Linked DNA regions of Diceros bicornis minor. The protein of the gene in region 1 purifies or fractionates together with the protein of each later gene. This does not show direct contact. Links are inferred from orthologs where the notes say so. Each region holds a gene or a part of one and is shown in the gene's direction. Other genes may lie near its edges.

What was found. Proteins that work in one complex are often made in the same cells at the same time.
Region 2: the proteins of FBXW7 (region 1) and MED13L purify together in Homo sapiens (affinity purification with mass spectrometry; 4 studies listed by BioGRID, with this or other methods). This does not show direct contact. The link is inferred for Diceros bicornis minor from reciprocal best matches to the Homo sapiens genes FBXW7 and MED13L.

Annotation. Positions count from the first base shown.
Region 1 is NC_080750.1:40,826,118-40,833,266, reverse strand, and holds the start of FBXW7 (F-box/WD repeat-containing protein 7), read left to right. Parts: upstream 1-4,142; 5' UTR 4,143-5,185; intron 5,186-7,149. UniProt on the Homo sapiens protein: Substrate recognition component of a SCF (SKP1-CUL1-F-box protein) E3 ubiquitin-protein ligase complex which mediates the ubiquitination and subsequent proteasomal degradation of target proteins.
Region 2 is NC_080774.1:13,709,131-13,716,452, reverse strand, and holds the start of MED13L (mediator of RNA polymerase II transcription subunit 13-like), read left to right. Parts: upstream 1-4,319; 5' UTR 4,320-4,400; coding exon 4,401-4,472; intron 4,473-7,322. UniProt on the Homo sapiens protein: Component of the Mediator complex, a coactivator involved in the regulated transcription of nearly all RNA polymerase II-dependent genes.

The DNA of each region.
Region 1 (7,149 bases):
AACTTGAGAGGAAAGAAAAAGCCATTGTGACTTTTATAAAATGAACGAACCTGGGAAATGAAAAAAAAAAAAAGTGTACTGGGGAAACACTTTGTTACATAGTTGGCTATAAAATACAAAGCAGCAAAGAATAGAGTTTAGTTACATAGATTCAAGAGAGTAAAAATTGTCTTTACATATTTGAGGGAAACTAAATCACAATAAAACCCAAAACCACTATGAGGGATTCCAGCAATAATTTAATAGTTGAAAGCATGACATTATTTTGGATGGTAAAAAAATAAAAAAATAGTCTTCACTACACCTGGTGGTGTAGTGGTTTAAGTTTGTGTGCTCTGCTTTTGCAGCTTGGGGTTCACAGGTTCGGATCCTGGGTGTGAACCTACACACCACTTATCAAACCATGCTGTGGCAGTGTCCCATATAAAGTAGAGGAAGATGGGCACGGATGTTAGCCCAAGGCCAATCTTCCTCAGGAAAAAAAAAAAAGGATTGGCAACAGATGTTAGCTCAGGGCTAATGTTCCTCAAAAAAAAAATAAAAAATAGTCTTATAGTCTTACTTTTAAGAAGTTTATAATCAAATTCATAAAAGATAATTAGGTAAACTATCATTATTCTTACTTTGGAAAGAACTTGTCCCAAATATAACTCATTTGGTAGCATTACCTTACCTGAAATATATTGTTCAAATGTGTACTCTAAAAAGATATCGGAAAATGGGGCATCTCAGAGATTAGGCATGAAAAAGATAATAACACACTTCACAAAAGAGGAAACCCAAATGGCTAGCTGATACATGAAAAGGTCCTCAATAGCATCAGTAATCAAGGAAATGCAACTTAAAACCACAATGATATACTACTACATACCCACCAGACAGGCAAAACTGAAGACTGATAATACCAAGTGTGGTTGAGGGTGTGGTACAACAGGATTCATACATGGTCAGTGTGAGCATAACACTTTAGAAAACAGCATGGTGTTATTTACTCAAGTTTATGACACACATAACCACTCCCAGGTATATACCATACAGAACTATAGATGTGATGGAAAAAATCTATGAAGGATGTTCACAGCAGCGTTTATAACAGCCCCAAATTGGAAACAACCTAGATGTCCATTAACAATAGAATGGTTAAATAAATTATGGCATATTGCTACAATGGAACATTTGTAATATGCAGCAATTAAAATGAACAGATTACAGCTATATGAACCCAAACAACGTACAGGTTAAAAACGATGTTGTGCAAAAGCAGTAAGCACAACAGATTACAAATTATGTTGTTCCATTTAATAAAGTTCAAAATAAAGGGCAAAACTAAACAATATATTGTTTAGGGATGCATGCTTGTGACAAAACAATAGAGAAAAACAAGGAAATGATTATCACAAAAGTTAGAATAATGGTCACCTCTAAAAGGGAGGGAAAGACTTGTGTTCAGGAAGGTCACTGGGGGGCTTCCGGGGTGCTGGCAATGTTCTATTTCTTGACCTGGTGAGTCACACTGAGGTTTCTTTTATAATTACTCATTATACTGAATAACTGCTTTATGCATTTTAATGTATATTTCACAATAAAAATGCTAAAAGTAATTGAATACTGTAGACAGCATTTCTAGAAAGAAATTTTGCCAGATAATTTAGCTTATGAAATCTTTGACAGTAAAAACCACTGATGTGGGATAATAAAACATTAAACAGTTTCTCATAAGAGCTCACTTTCAAGCGTAGGAGAAAAGAACCCTACGCAAATATCCCTTTGTTATATTTTAACAGAGTATGCAAATCTTTATCACAAACAAATTGATGAACCGGGGAAAGAACTCTGTTACCTCAAACTTCAGATTTTTTTGGAATTTTGAATGAACCGTTTTCTCCCCTGGATTAATAAGAAATGAAAGAACTAAAGAGATGTAGACCACCATGGAAATGTATGAACTTCCTCCTCTCCAGTCACCAGTTCCAGCTGTTTCCTCCAGTTATCATGCTGGGTGGTGAGGTGGGTGGATCTTGCCCAGTAAGCTCAGTGCAGCTGTTACTTTGTAAGTAGGTGGCTGAGGGCTCTCCTGAGTGCCATTCTGTCTCTCAGCACTAAGGTTCTAAGGTGGAGCCACTGACAACGAAAACAGATCAGGCTGCTGAAAAACCCCACGTGGTACCCACCTTTCTGGAGGCATCCTCTGCTGGTTTGCCGTGCTCTGATGTTTGCACTCTTTTTATCCAAAGCCCATAGAATTTAAAATCTGAGGTGCTCAGGCTTCACAAAATCCGCTATATCTGTGCGTTTTACTCTGTCAATTTCCACCAGGAAATTAGCAAGAGGGGCAAAACCAAAAAAGATCTATTTTGTAGCCATGTTGGGCCATCACTTAGTGGTCTGATTCCCTATGAATCTCATTTGGAAGGACATGGCAGGGGATTGGTCATGAAAAGACAGTTAAATCCAGGGTAGCTTAAGCAGGATAGTTAACCTGGCTCTTGGAACTTCGAATCAAGGGCAGGTGGGCAGGTGCCACTTTGTGAGTCTCTTCTTGCTTCTGCAACATCCCCCTCCACCTTCCCATCACTTTTTCTGTGCACTTTTCTGCACTTTAATAAAAATGAGCCCCTGGATTTCCCCAGTTAGAAGTTTCCTTGGTTTACTGTTTGCATGCGGCGGTGGCAGTTGCGGCAGAAACTCTGAGCTTCCCAAATCTCTCTATAAAAACTTGCTCCTTATTCCCTGAGGCGGAAAGACTTGTAATATCCATTATTGCTGCTTCTAGAGGAGGTAGGGTGTGCCAGGGTCCAGCGACAGAACGGTGGAATCCGCTTCCTTTCATCATTGTTGCTGCTTTCATCTCATTCTCACACTGTTCACCACGACAGGTTCAAGAGAGATTTCTGAGGATTCTGGTTTTTTTACCCTAAAATTTATTTTCCTAGAGAACTACACTTTCAACTTCATGAGTTTTTACTTGAATTTACCTTCCAGGATAACATCTGTAGGAAAAGCTGCACAATAGTAATAATATTTATTTTAGAAAGGAAATAGCCTTTGAGTCAGACCTGAAACACAGGCCAAAATTTCTTGATGACGGTAACGGACACTGATTAACAGCCAAGTCAGCTCTCCAAAGCTTCAAACAACAAGCAAGAACGATTCCTAAAAGTGAGGCCCTACTAAATTCTCCCCCTGAAAAACAGTCGACAATCCTTCCACAATCTCTGGGAGGATGGCTCCCTTCCCTCACCCCGGTAATTCCCCTCCTTTTTCACTCAAGACTCAGGTTGTGACTCCGTACTCAAGCCGCACCCCTATTTCCTTTCATGGGAGGGGGCGGGGGGAAGAAGAGATGTATTACAACTCTAATCTTTACAATGCTATGCAGTTTACAAAGCGCTTGCAACTTCCATCAACTCCTCTGAGCTCCGCGAGCGCCACGTGAGGCATTCATTCATTCATCAAACATTTGCTCCGCTCGACCACACGTTATCGGGCGCTGGGTCTCACCCCACACCACGAGAAGGGTGGAGTGCTCGCTCCCTGGAGCAGGTGCAGAGGGTCAGGCTGTAGGACAACTTCTCGCTCAGTCAGGCTTTTCGAAAGCCCATTTGGGGCCAAATGCCTCACCTTCGGGTGGTGTGCGCCCGAGCATGGCCGCGCGGCCTGGGCCTCCTCCTCGCTCCCAAAGGAGCAGTCACCACCTGCCCTGAAGGAAACCGCTAAGAGCAAGCTCTCTCCGCCGCCCTCGGGTCAGGGGTAAGATCAGGCGGCAGCTTAGGCTCCACTCGGCTCCTCCCCTTCCTCTCTTCAGTTCTGACGCGGCCGTAGAGGCGGCGGCAGCGGCGGCGAGTCCCGCGGCCCCAGTCGCACCCACCCGCTCGCCCAGCCCCGACTTCCTCTTCCCTTTGAGCGTCATCACAGCGCGCCAGAGTCGCCCAAGGCAGGGTGATTGGAAAGAGAAAAAAAGGCCAGCGGAGGAAGCCTCCGAGCGGAAAGACAAGGGAGGGGGGAGGAGAGCGGTTGCTAGGTGACTTGCGTCATCGGTCTGCGCCGCTTTCCTCCCGCCCCTCTCTCTGGAGTGAGGCGAGAGCCCCGCACAGAGCGAGCGAGACAGCGAGCTGAGCTCCGGGCGCTACCGCCGCCGCCGCCGCCGCCGCCGCCGCCGCCAAGAGCGTGAGAGCGAGGGAGCATCCGAGAGACCTAGCCCCCGTGCACTGGCCGCCGCCAAGACCTCCGCCCTAAGCTGGGCCAGCGGGAGCCGCCGCCACCCCGCCTCTCCCCCCCTCACCTTCCCGGCCGGCAGCGGCGGCTGCACACGCCGGAGCCCGAGCCTGAGCCCGAGCCGGCGGCTGGGGGGCAGGGAGGCGGCTACTCGGGCCGGGACTAGTGAGCTGCTCCGCGGTGAGGGGACGCTGAGGAGGGGCCGGAGCTTCTATCTCGTCCCGGGGCGCGGGGCTCGGGACCCCCAAGGTGTAGGGAGGGGGGCCCAGCCGCAGCGACACATGCGGGAGCCGGGAGCGGGGGCGGCGCCGAGCGGAGCCGGCCGGGTCCCCCACCTCGCCGCCGCCTCGGCCACCCTCCCGGGCCCGTAGCATCTCGCCCCGGAGTGTATGAGCCGGGGCCCCAAGCTCAGCAGCCACCCCCCGACCGGGGGGGCGGGGACCCCGATGTGAAGCGGCGGCCGGGGCGGCGGGGAGAGCAGGACCGGCGCCGCCGTCCTTTCCTTCCCTTCCCCCTCCCCTCTGCCCCCTCGGGGGTCTTCTCCCTTGGCCAGTTGCCGGCCCCCCGACTCCTCGGCTGGACTCCGGGAGGAGTTCTTAGAGCCCCCTCCCCCGCCCCAGGGCGGCGGGGCCGGGGGGGACCCGGGGGGCCGGCCGCAGCCTCCGCCCAGAGGAAACTTTTATAAAGATAAAATCCGGAGCCTCCCAAACCTGACTATCCCGGGAGAAGTGACCCAGGACGGGCAGGACACACAGCTTGAAGAGACCCAGGAAGAGGAAAAGGAGGTAAGCGGGGCCGCCGCCGCCTCTGCTCCGGCAGCGCGGAAGAGACCCGAGTGGCCGTCTGCTTTAGCGACACCAGCACCGCTTCTTCCTCACTAACTCGCCGGAGCCTTCCGCAGCTGCCGCCTCGGTGCGAAGGAGGAAGGGAACCAACCCACTTTCCCAGCGCCACGGCTCTTCTGTAAAGTGTGAGTGGCCGGGGAGGGGGAATTGAGGGGTAGCGAGTGGGAGGATGCCGGTGGGACCTCCTGGAGTTTTGCTGATGTTTTCCGGGAGTGTTGGGAGTGTATGGATGAGAGGGTGTACCCTAATACCTCACTGCGGGGAGGAGGTATTAGGTAGTCCTGTGTTCTGGAACCTTTTAGCTCTTTGTACGTGTAATACGCAAGCTTACAGGTTTCTCTTAGCGCTGAGTTCTGTCTTTCTCTAGAGTGGACACTTGCACCTTTCTGCCAGTAATTGGCAAAAGGAAATTGAGGAGGCCAGAACATATGTGCACACAAAGGACATCTCTGTAATATACCTTTTCCTGGTACACCGGTGTGAGTAGCGCTGTAGTTCTTGTTTCTGGGCAAATCTTATTTTGCTTCCCAAGTGGGAACCTCTTTTACCCTGTGCACCCTGAAAGTAAAAGTCTTTTCTTTTTTCTACAGTCTTCCTTGAGAGATTTTCCTATTGGTACAAGAGTTTTTTACCTTCTCGTTTTTGGGGTCCAGTTCCTGTGGGTCAGGAGGATACTGTAACAGATTTTAATCACTCAGGAAATTCTGAGTTCTTAAGAATCACAACTTTTGGGGGAGAGCGTTTAGTACTTTAACTAGTTTATAAAAGTTGTTACATTTTTTCCTTTCCTAAATGCTTTTTTTTTTTTGGAGTAGCATATGTTCTAATTGCTAGCGCTTTTTTATTTGACACGAATGACTTGAGGCTTTGCTTGTTTGTGTTGTCTATACTTCTCTATTAAATGAGGAGAAACTTTTCGTATTTAATTCTTTGAAGAACGATTTTTTTCTTCCCTTATTTTATTTTATTTATTTATTTATTTTTGTGAGGAAGATCAGCCCTGAGCTAACATCCATGCTAATCCTCCTCTTTTTTTTTTTACTGAGGAAGACCGGCTCTGAGCTAACATCTGTTGCCAATCCTCCTCCTTTTTTTCCGCCAAAGCCCCAGTAGATAGTTGTATGTCATAGTTGCACATCCTTCTAGTTGCTGTATGTGGGACGCCGCCTCAGCATGGCCGGAGAAGCGGTGCCTCGGTGTGCGCCCCGGATCTGAACCCCCGGCCGCCAGTAGCGGAGCGACTGCGCTTAACTGCTAAGCCACTGGCTGGCCCTCTTCCCTTATTTTAAAGGTGAAGTCTATAAAATCTTTGATTTGTGTTTTAGATATCTTCTCAGAGTGCCAAATTAAGGTGCAGGAAAGTAGTTAACATTTTGTAAATTTATACAGACCTTAAGCATTAAGTGTAGGGTGGAATTTTATATAAAGAACATAAGCAGTACTATATGAGAATGATGGTTCCTCCAGACAACTGTGTGGGTTCGCTGTTTCTGAAGCCACTGCTGAGAGAAGCTTTGTGGGAATGAATGTAAGCCTGGGGTTATCTATGCTGACTTCTCCAGTCAGGATCTTGATTAAATTTATTTAAAACTTTCTCAAACAGTGTTTTCATCCTGTACTTTTCTCTTTTGAAGTAATGAGTTCTACACCCCCTGAATTATGTAACAATTCATTTATTTATCCCAAACCTCTTTAAAGTTCCAAGACACATCCAGAGTTTGTTTTGAAAAATTCTAGAACAAGCTGGAGTTTATCTTTTCCTGGTTTTATAGATTTTGATTGTTCCTCTTTACCATCATCTTTCCTGACTCTTTTTGTCTGTCTTAGAATAATTTCTTCAATCCCTTTGGTCACTTTGCTCTCCTCTGGAACTTCTCCTGCTGCTTTGTTTTTCTTTAGGTACCTTGTTCTTGTCATGCTTTTGTAAGGAGCCTTAAATTCTGTCTATTTTAAATGGGTACTGACATGAAAATATTAAGCAGTGGATATAATGTTAGATGTGGAATCAAAAACAAATGTCTCTGGATTTGTTGTCTTATTTTGTGACCTTGAGGAAGTCATGTATCCGATGTTTCACGAAGATAGGAAG
Region 2 (7,322 bases), on another chromosome or scaffold:
ACAATTCGTTGACTTTGGTTATCCTAGTGGGGGAGAGAGAACAGGACTCCCTTTTCTTGGTATGCTCCTATATCATTTGATTTGCTCTAGCTAACATTTTGTTATTTATAATAAAATAAATCCAATAAAGCTTAGGTTAAAGGGAAAAAAGCTGCAAGTGATGTGACTGGGTGCCACTTTCCACTGTACGAGGATGGACTAGTGACTGTGATTGTTATAATTTTTTGATCACCGTCTATGGGGCCGGGCACTGTGCTAAGAACTTTCTCTGTGTTATCACCCTGGGAGGTCAATGCACAGGAAGAAATGGGGGTCACAGGGCTTAAATGACCTGCTCAAGGCTGCACAGCTCTACAGCTCTGTGCACGACAGAGCAGGGATTGGAACCCAGGTGTGTCTTACTCTGAAGCAACAGTCTTAACTCCTGCAAAATGCTCCCACCCTGCAGCTGTGGTGGTTTCCTGTGGTCTCTCGAATAGGTGGTTCCTCCTCTGGTCATATTTTTGCTTCCATTTTCTCTCTGCCATTACATTTGGTAACCATGAAAGGGAACTAACCTGTCATTCTCAGAATAAGACCTGAGACTTGTGCAGAGTGGAACGTCTATTTCCTGCCGGGGCAGCAGGCATTCTCACAAATGGAGAAACTAAGTCAGGAGGATGCTTCTGATGAGGTCCCCACATACGGAACTGTACTCAGAAGTCCCAGTGCCTGGTACCTTGCTGCTTCCTAGTAGTCAGTTGATGGTTTTTGTTTTCTTTTCTTTTCATCTTATCTCCTGAGGCTTTCCATCAACTCCCATTGCTTTCTCTATTGAGTAAGAACTCTGCAGATCTTTATCAGTCCTCTCAACTGTGCAGAATCAACCAAGTCTTCTTGCTAGAAATGACTTGAAGGATCACCCCGGCTGCCCTGTTCACACATGAGGAAACTGAGGCCCGGAGAGGTTGAGGGGCTTGTCTGAGCTAACAGGGCTGCTCAGTGGCACATCTGAGACTAGAACCCAGTTCCCCTGGGTTCTCCTTCTGTCCTCATGTTGCCAGGGCAATTGCACACTGCACTTTTGGCCTTTTCCCTTCCACTCTGGGGCCTTGGCTTTGACAGCCAAGGTAATCCCCTCAGATGAGGTTTTTTCTTTTGTCTTGTGTTGTTTATTTGCTTTTTAATTTCCTTTTATGGTGCCATTTGATTATTCTGTTTTCAATTTTATTTATTTATTGATTTGTGTTGTTTATAACACTGCATTGAGCAGGTAATATACATATTCAGAAAAAAGAAAGAAAGAAAACGCAAACAGTACAGTGAAAAGTACTCTCCTCACCCTCTTCCCACCCTGACTCCCATCCCTAGAGGCAACTGATATTACTAGAGTCTCGGGTAACCTTCCAGAGATACTCAATTAATAAGCTATTTTTGAGATTATTTTATATGAGACACATAGTGATAACTCATTATTTTTAATGGCTACACGGAATTAAATTACGTTGTTAACTACTCCCCAAATGATGGACATGTAGGTTGTTTCCAGTTTTTGCCCAGCAAATAGTACTATAATTCATGTCCTTGTGCTACAGGTCTTTATACATCTGCACAAGTATCTCTGTAGGATAAAATTCTAGAACTAGAATTGCTGGGTCAAAGGGTACATGCATTATAAATTTCGATGTCTCCAAATTGACACCGAAAGCTGTGGTGCTAATTTATATTCCCACTGACAGTATATCAGAGTTCTGCTTCCCTCCATATTTGCCTAAGCTTTTAAAATATTGCCAATACTTATTATGGTTTTAGTTTGTTTTTCTTATAATGAATGTCTTAGTCTGCTTGGGCTGCCATAACAAATTACCAGGGACTGGGTGGCTTAAATGACAGAAATTTATTTCTCACAATTCTGGAGGCTGGGAAGTCCAACATCAAGGTGCCCGTTTAGTTCCTGGTAAGAGCCCTCTTTGTGGTCATGACTTTGTACAGCAGAAAGACAGAGACACAGAGAGAGAGAGAGACAGAGAGAGGGGAGAGGAGGGGAGGGGAGGGGAGTGAGGAAGAGAAAGCATTCTCTCTCAAGTCTTGTCTTACAAGGGCACTAATCTCATCATGAGGGCTCCACCCTTGTGACCTAACCGTCTGCCAAAGGCTCCATCTCTGAATACCATCACACTAGGGATTAGGGGTTCCACGTATGAATTTGAGGCGGACACAAACATTCAGTCCATAGCAACGAGTGAGGTTGAGCATCTTTTTATATACTTAAAAGCCATGTCTTTCCTATTCTCTAAACTGTCCATATCCTTAGCTCATTTTTCTATTGGGTTGCTCTGGGAGACTTACTAACAAGTTAAACCTAAACTTACTGAAGAATGAGAATTTGGTGACCAGGTGTGTAGGATGAAGGCCCCTTGGGATATAATGGACCATCCCACCGACTGATTGCTCAGGCCCAAGTAACACCATGCATGTTGATAAAGCACTTTGTATATACATTCATTATAACATAGTGTCAGCGGGTTATAACCTAGTGTCAGCCTTGATAATAATATATGTAACACGCTGCTCATGGGTTTCACTTTAGCAGTTATTTGTGTAAGTTCTAAAGCTCAATTCACACGTCTAAGACTTCTCTCCTTTTATTACACTCCATCTTTCCCCTGTTTCTACTCTTCCTCTCTTTTAGTCCAATCCACCTGAAACAGCTGACTCTTCCAAGTTGGTGGCTTGTTGGCGAAGAAGTTGTTCTCTCCTTCCCACCTTTGCCGGAAGCAAAGCCTTGAGGGCTGGGAGACAGCCTCCTCTTACTGGCACACCTCTGGACTCCCAGGCCATATGCTCTCAGAAAATGTTGGTCATTGAATGAATGTAGCCAAGAGGGAGGGTCTGCTCCCAACACAGCCCTAGCACAGCGCCTGGCAGTTATAACATATTCCGGCACGTGGCAAGAGGTAAGGAAACACTGACGCAATGAGTGAATGAATGTCTGCACACAGTGCCTAGGAGTAAGGCCTCAAAAGGCTTTCCTGTATTCAGCGCATAGTGCCTGGTACACAGTAAGCGCTCACTAAGTGGCAGCCCCGAATATCCCTGGACGAGTCTTATAAAACCTAGCGCAAGAGCTTGGCTTGACTGTGCCTGGGTACGGGGGTTCGAATCCCGCCCCCTCCAGTTCCCAGCTGTGCGACCTCGGGCAAGTGACTTAATCTCTTTGTGCTTCAGTTTTCTCAGCCGCAGAACGCCGACGGCGGAGTGCGACCTCGACGCGACACTCCCGGGAGCCCCTGGACCTGCTGCCCGGCCCACTGCGAGCCCCCGCCACGCCAGCTGGCCTGGGCGGTCGGGGGCACTCGCGGGGGGCCCGAGCCCTCGGCCGTGGCCGCCACGGGCGTTCCCGGGGCTCGCGGTCGCGCCTCGTCGGGATCCGTGCACCCGAGGGGGCGGGGCGCGGCGCCCACGCGGGACAGCGCACGGCAGCCCCGGCCGGCCGGCCGGCCGCCGCCCGCACTTCTTTCTCTGCCTCTCCGCCTCCCTCCCTCTCCCGGCCCGAGAAGCCGGCCGCGCTCGGCTCAGCAGCGCCGCCCGCGAGCCGCCGCCGCCGCAGCCGCTCCCGGCCCCTCCCCCGCCCGCCCTCCGCCCCCCCGCGCGGCCGGCGCCCGTCACGTGACGCGGCGCCAGCCAATGGCGGGCCGAGCCGCGGTCGGCGGCCGCCATTGCTGTCAGAGCGAGCGAGCCCGGGGAGGGAGGAGAAGCGAGGCTGACTGGGGAGGAGGGGGGGGTGGGGGAGGAAGAGGAAGGAGGGGACGTCGCTCGGCTGCCGGGGTCGCCCGCTGGCTTCGTCCGCACCCCCCCCTTCGCGAGTTCGCGCTCCGCGGCGGCGGCGGCTCCGAGGCGGCGGCGGTGGCTCCGGGGCTCGCCTCCCCTCACGCGCCGGCGGGGGCAGAGGGGGAGTCGGTGGCTGGAGATAAACAAGGCGGCGGCGGCGGCGGCGGCGGAGGAACAGGGAAGGCGGAGGCGGCGGCCGGCCCGCAGCGCCAGCCCGGGAGGCAGCGGCGGCCCTGAGAGGCGGGGAGGGCGCCGGGCCGCGCGGACAGCGCCCCCCGCCGCCGCCGGAGCCGCGGCAGCCGCCGCCGCCGCCGCCGCCCGAGCAGGAAGGAGCCGCGCGGCCGCCGCGGACCCCCCCGCCGGCCCGGGCCCGCCGCCCCCGGCGCGGCGTCGCCGCGGCGCCTCCCGCCCGCCCGCCGGCCCTCGCGCCCTCCCCCGGCGGCGGCGGCGGCGGCGGCGGCGGCGGCGGCGGCGGCGGCGGCGGCCCGGCCGCCCGCGCTCCCCGGCGAGGCGCCGCCGCCCGGCCCGGCCTCGCCTCGGACGCCTCGCTCCGACATGCCCCGCTCTGGCGGCCGGGCTCGCGGAGGATCATGACTGCGGCAGCGAACTGGGTGGCGAACGGGGCGAGCCTGGAGGATTGTCACTCCAACCTCTTCTCGCTGGTGAGTAGCCGGGCGGCGGGGAGGGGGCCGGGCCGGGGGGGGGTCCCCGACCTCCGCCGCCGACCAACTTTCTCCTCCCGCCGCCGGGACGTGCCCCTCCCTCGCCTCTCCCCGCCGCTCGCCTCTCGCCGCGTCTCCCCCTTTTGGATCGTCGCTCCTCGCCTTGGCTCCCCTCCAGTGTTTATTTGGCTCTTTAAAAATCATTTGTGAGCGCGGCGCTCGGCGTGGAATTTGCATGTGGAAGTCTCAGAGCTGCGGATTCTGGGTCGCACTTCGAACGCCCACCCTCTGTTGCCATCACACCCCCTTCCTCTCCCCTCTTCCCCCCTTTTTTCCCCTAAATGTGGAAGGCTTTGCCTTGTGCTGCCCGTGCCTGCGATCGGCAGCCTTTTCCCCCCTTGTCGGGTCGACTGCCCGCTCGCCCGCCCGGCTTTTGAATTTTTTTAAAATTCCATAATGACACCTGCAATTTCGCCCGAAAACAGTTGATCGAATGCGATGGTGTCAGTAAAGGACTCTGGCACCCGGAGCTCCCGCGATTGTAAACACCGACAGCCGCCCGCCTCTCGGGGCTTACTACGCTGGAGAGCCGGAAAGCCATTGCACCGAGCCGACGGAAGGTGGAGAAAGCTTTTTCTTCTCTCTCTCTCCTCCTGTGTCTTTTAAAAACTGTTTTCTCTATCCTAACAACGAATCCACACACACAAAAAAGCAACAAGCTGGGCGGCTGGATAACATCGCTTTTATCTGCCTTCGCCTCTCTCGCGCGCTCTCGCTGGTAATTGACAACTTTTCCTTGGGATTTGAATCGCCTGCCTTAATCTTGAAGCAGTTAGGGTGTCAATTGTTCTCCTGGAAGCCTGGCACCCGACGACGGCGTCTAGATTCATGGAAATTAAAAATGTATAGGGCTCCAGCAACTCTTTCCTGGCGGTCGCAGTGACATTTGGTGGTAAATGCCATCTCTGCTTTTTATTGGGTCGTATTACCTAGCTCTGAAAACATTCATGTTGTTAAACCTGGCGTTTAGGCTAATAATTGCAGTACGTGGTCTTTAAATATGTGCTTTGTGCAGGAGTTACTGTATGTATAGCTATGTGCCCGGGAGACTACGAATTTGTTTAAATATTGAGCAAAGATTTGTAAACAGATGTAAGGCAATTATGTTTCAAGCGTAGAATATAATTGGAAAATTGGCTGAACGGTTTGTTTAATTTAGCCTTAAAAAAACCAACTTATTTTAAGTTGTGTACCTTTTTTGGGGGAACTGACTTTTGGAGCGCATGCATTTTGGAAATTGTTTTCTGTAACCTCTGCTGCAGATGGGAGCATTATTTCCTCTTAATCCTTGTTTACACTGGATAAATAATTTAGTGTTCAAATTGTAATTAGTTACATTTAATTATGGGTAGCATAGAGGCTTTTTTTCTTTGAGACTAGTGGAGACATACAAATTCTTGCCAACTTTTCAAATAAAAGTGTTATTTTATTCAATATGTTTCATTATGCAGATAAAAAAAATCAAAACATGCGATTTTTACCTACAGTGACCCGAGTGACATAGTATCCATGTTTTTGCTGTGGTAAGATCAGGTCAATTTTATTTTTCTTCCAACATTTTTATTCAGATATTTAATTTTAAAATTCAGTTACAAGTTGCTCTTCTTCCTCTCAGGACTGTGATTATTTTCCCTTGATCTTTTGGTATGTGGGAATAAAACTCATTTTGCATCCTCTTTTCTCCCCCTCATTCTGTCATTTAGTATCAGGTTCAGGGACTTCGTAGATTAGCAAACATATTGATTAAGGGATATTTTAAATGGTTTTTGTTTGGTGGCTGGTGACCACATTGACACTTTAACAGGTAATTAAAATAACCAAGTAGACCAATATTAGTGAGGAGAGATCCCCCAAATTACCATATATCATGCTGACTGGTAATGGCTTGGGTATGTGTGGCTAATTTATATACAGTAGATTTTGTAGACAAATGAAAGTATATTATATGTGTAGCCAGTCTTTAAGATACATCATTTCTTTTATCTTTTATTTTTTTTTTAAGCTTAAGTAAGGGTGATAATGTTATAGAGATAAGATGCTTGAGATTCTTTTGGAGAAACAATTTTGTGGGAGAGGATTCTGTGCTTTATGACCAACTAAAGATTAATGCTTTGGGTATTTTCTCTTAAACCTCTTTAAACCAGGAATTGATTTTTGAATATACTTTTTTTTTTTTTTTTAAACAGAATTACTCTTTAGGTAGCAACTTTGAAATGCAGAACTGCAGAAATGCATGCTTTGATTTTTTTTTTTTTTAAAGGACTAGAGAAAGTCTACATTCTCTTGTATGCAGAGGGTGGATAAGGTGCTATTTTTTTAAAATTACAAATCAGTTAAAAAGGTGCTGATATTGTAAATTTTTCTCATTCAAATTTGAGATTTTTTTGGAAAATTAGATATAGCAGCAAGAACATTAAAAATATGTTGCTTAAAGTACATTGTATAGTATAGTTAATTCCAAAGGAGATAAAATCATCACCTGTTTAAAATAAAGCATGTATTATAAGAACTCTGTGTGCTTAATAATAGCATATATGTGCTTTTTTGGCCTGCAGTATTTTTGAGCAGAGAAAAGTATTGTTTATATAGAATTTACCTAGATACTCATGTTAATGTAGATTGAAATATAAACTAGAGATGAAAGTTCTGTACCACATTAATGACCCACCCACTTTCTATTACCTTTAGGTGTTCGTTCTAGTTTAGCAAAAGTTGATTGTGCAATCAGCTGCCTTAAGATTTTTGTTAGTCTTTTACTTACTTTGCTTTCTGATTGTCTGCTGCATGGCA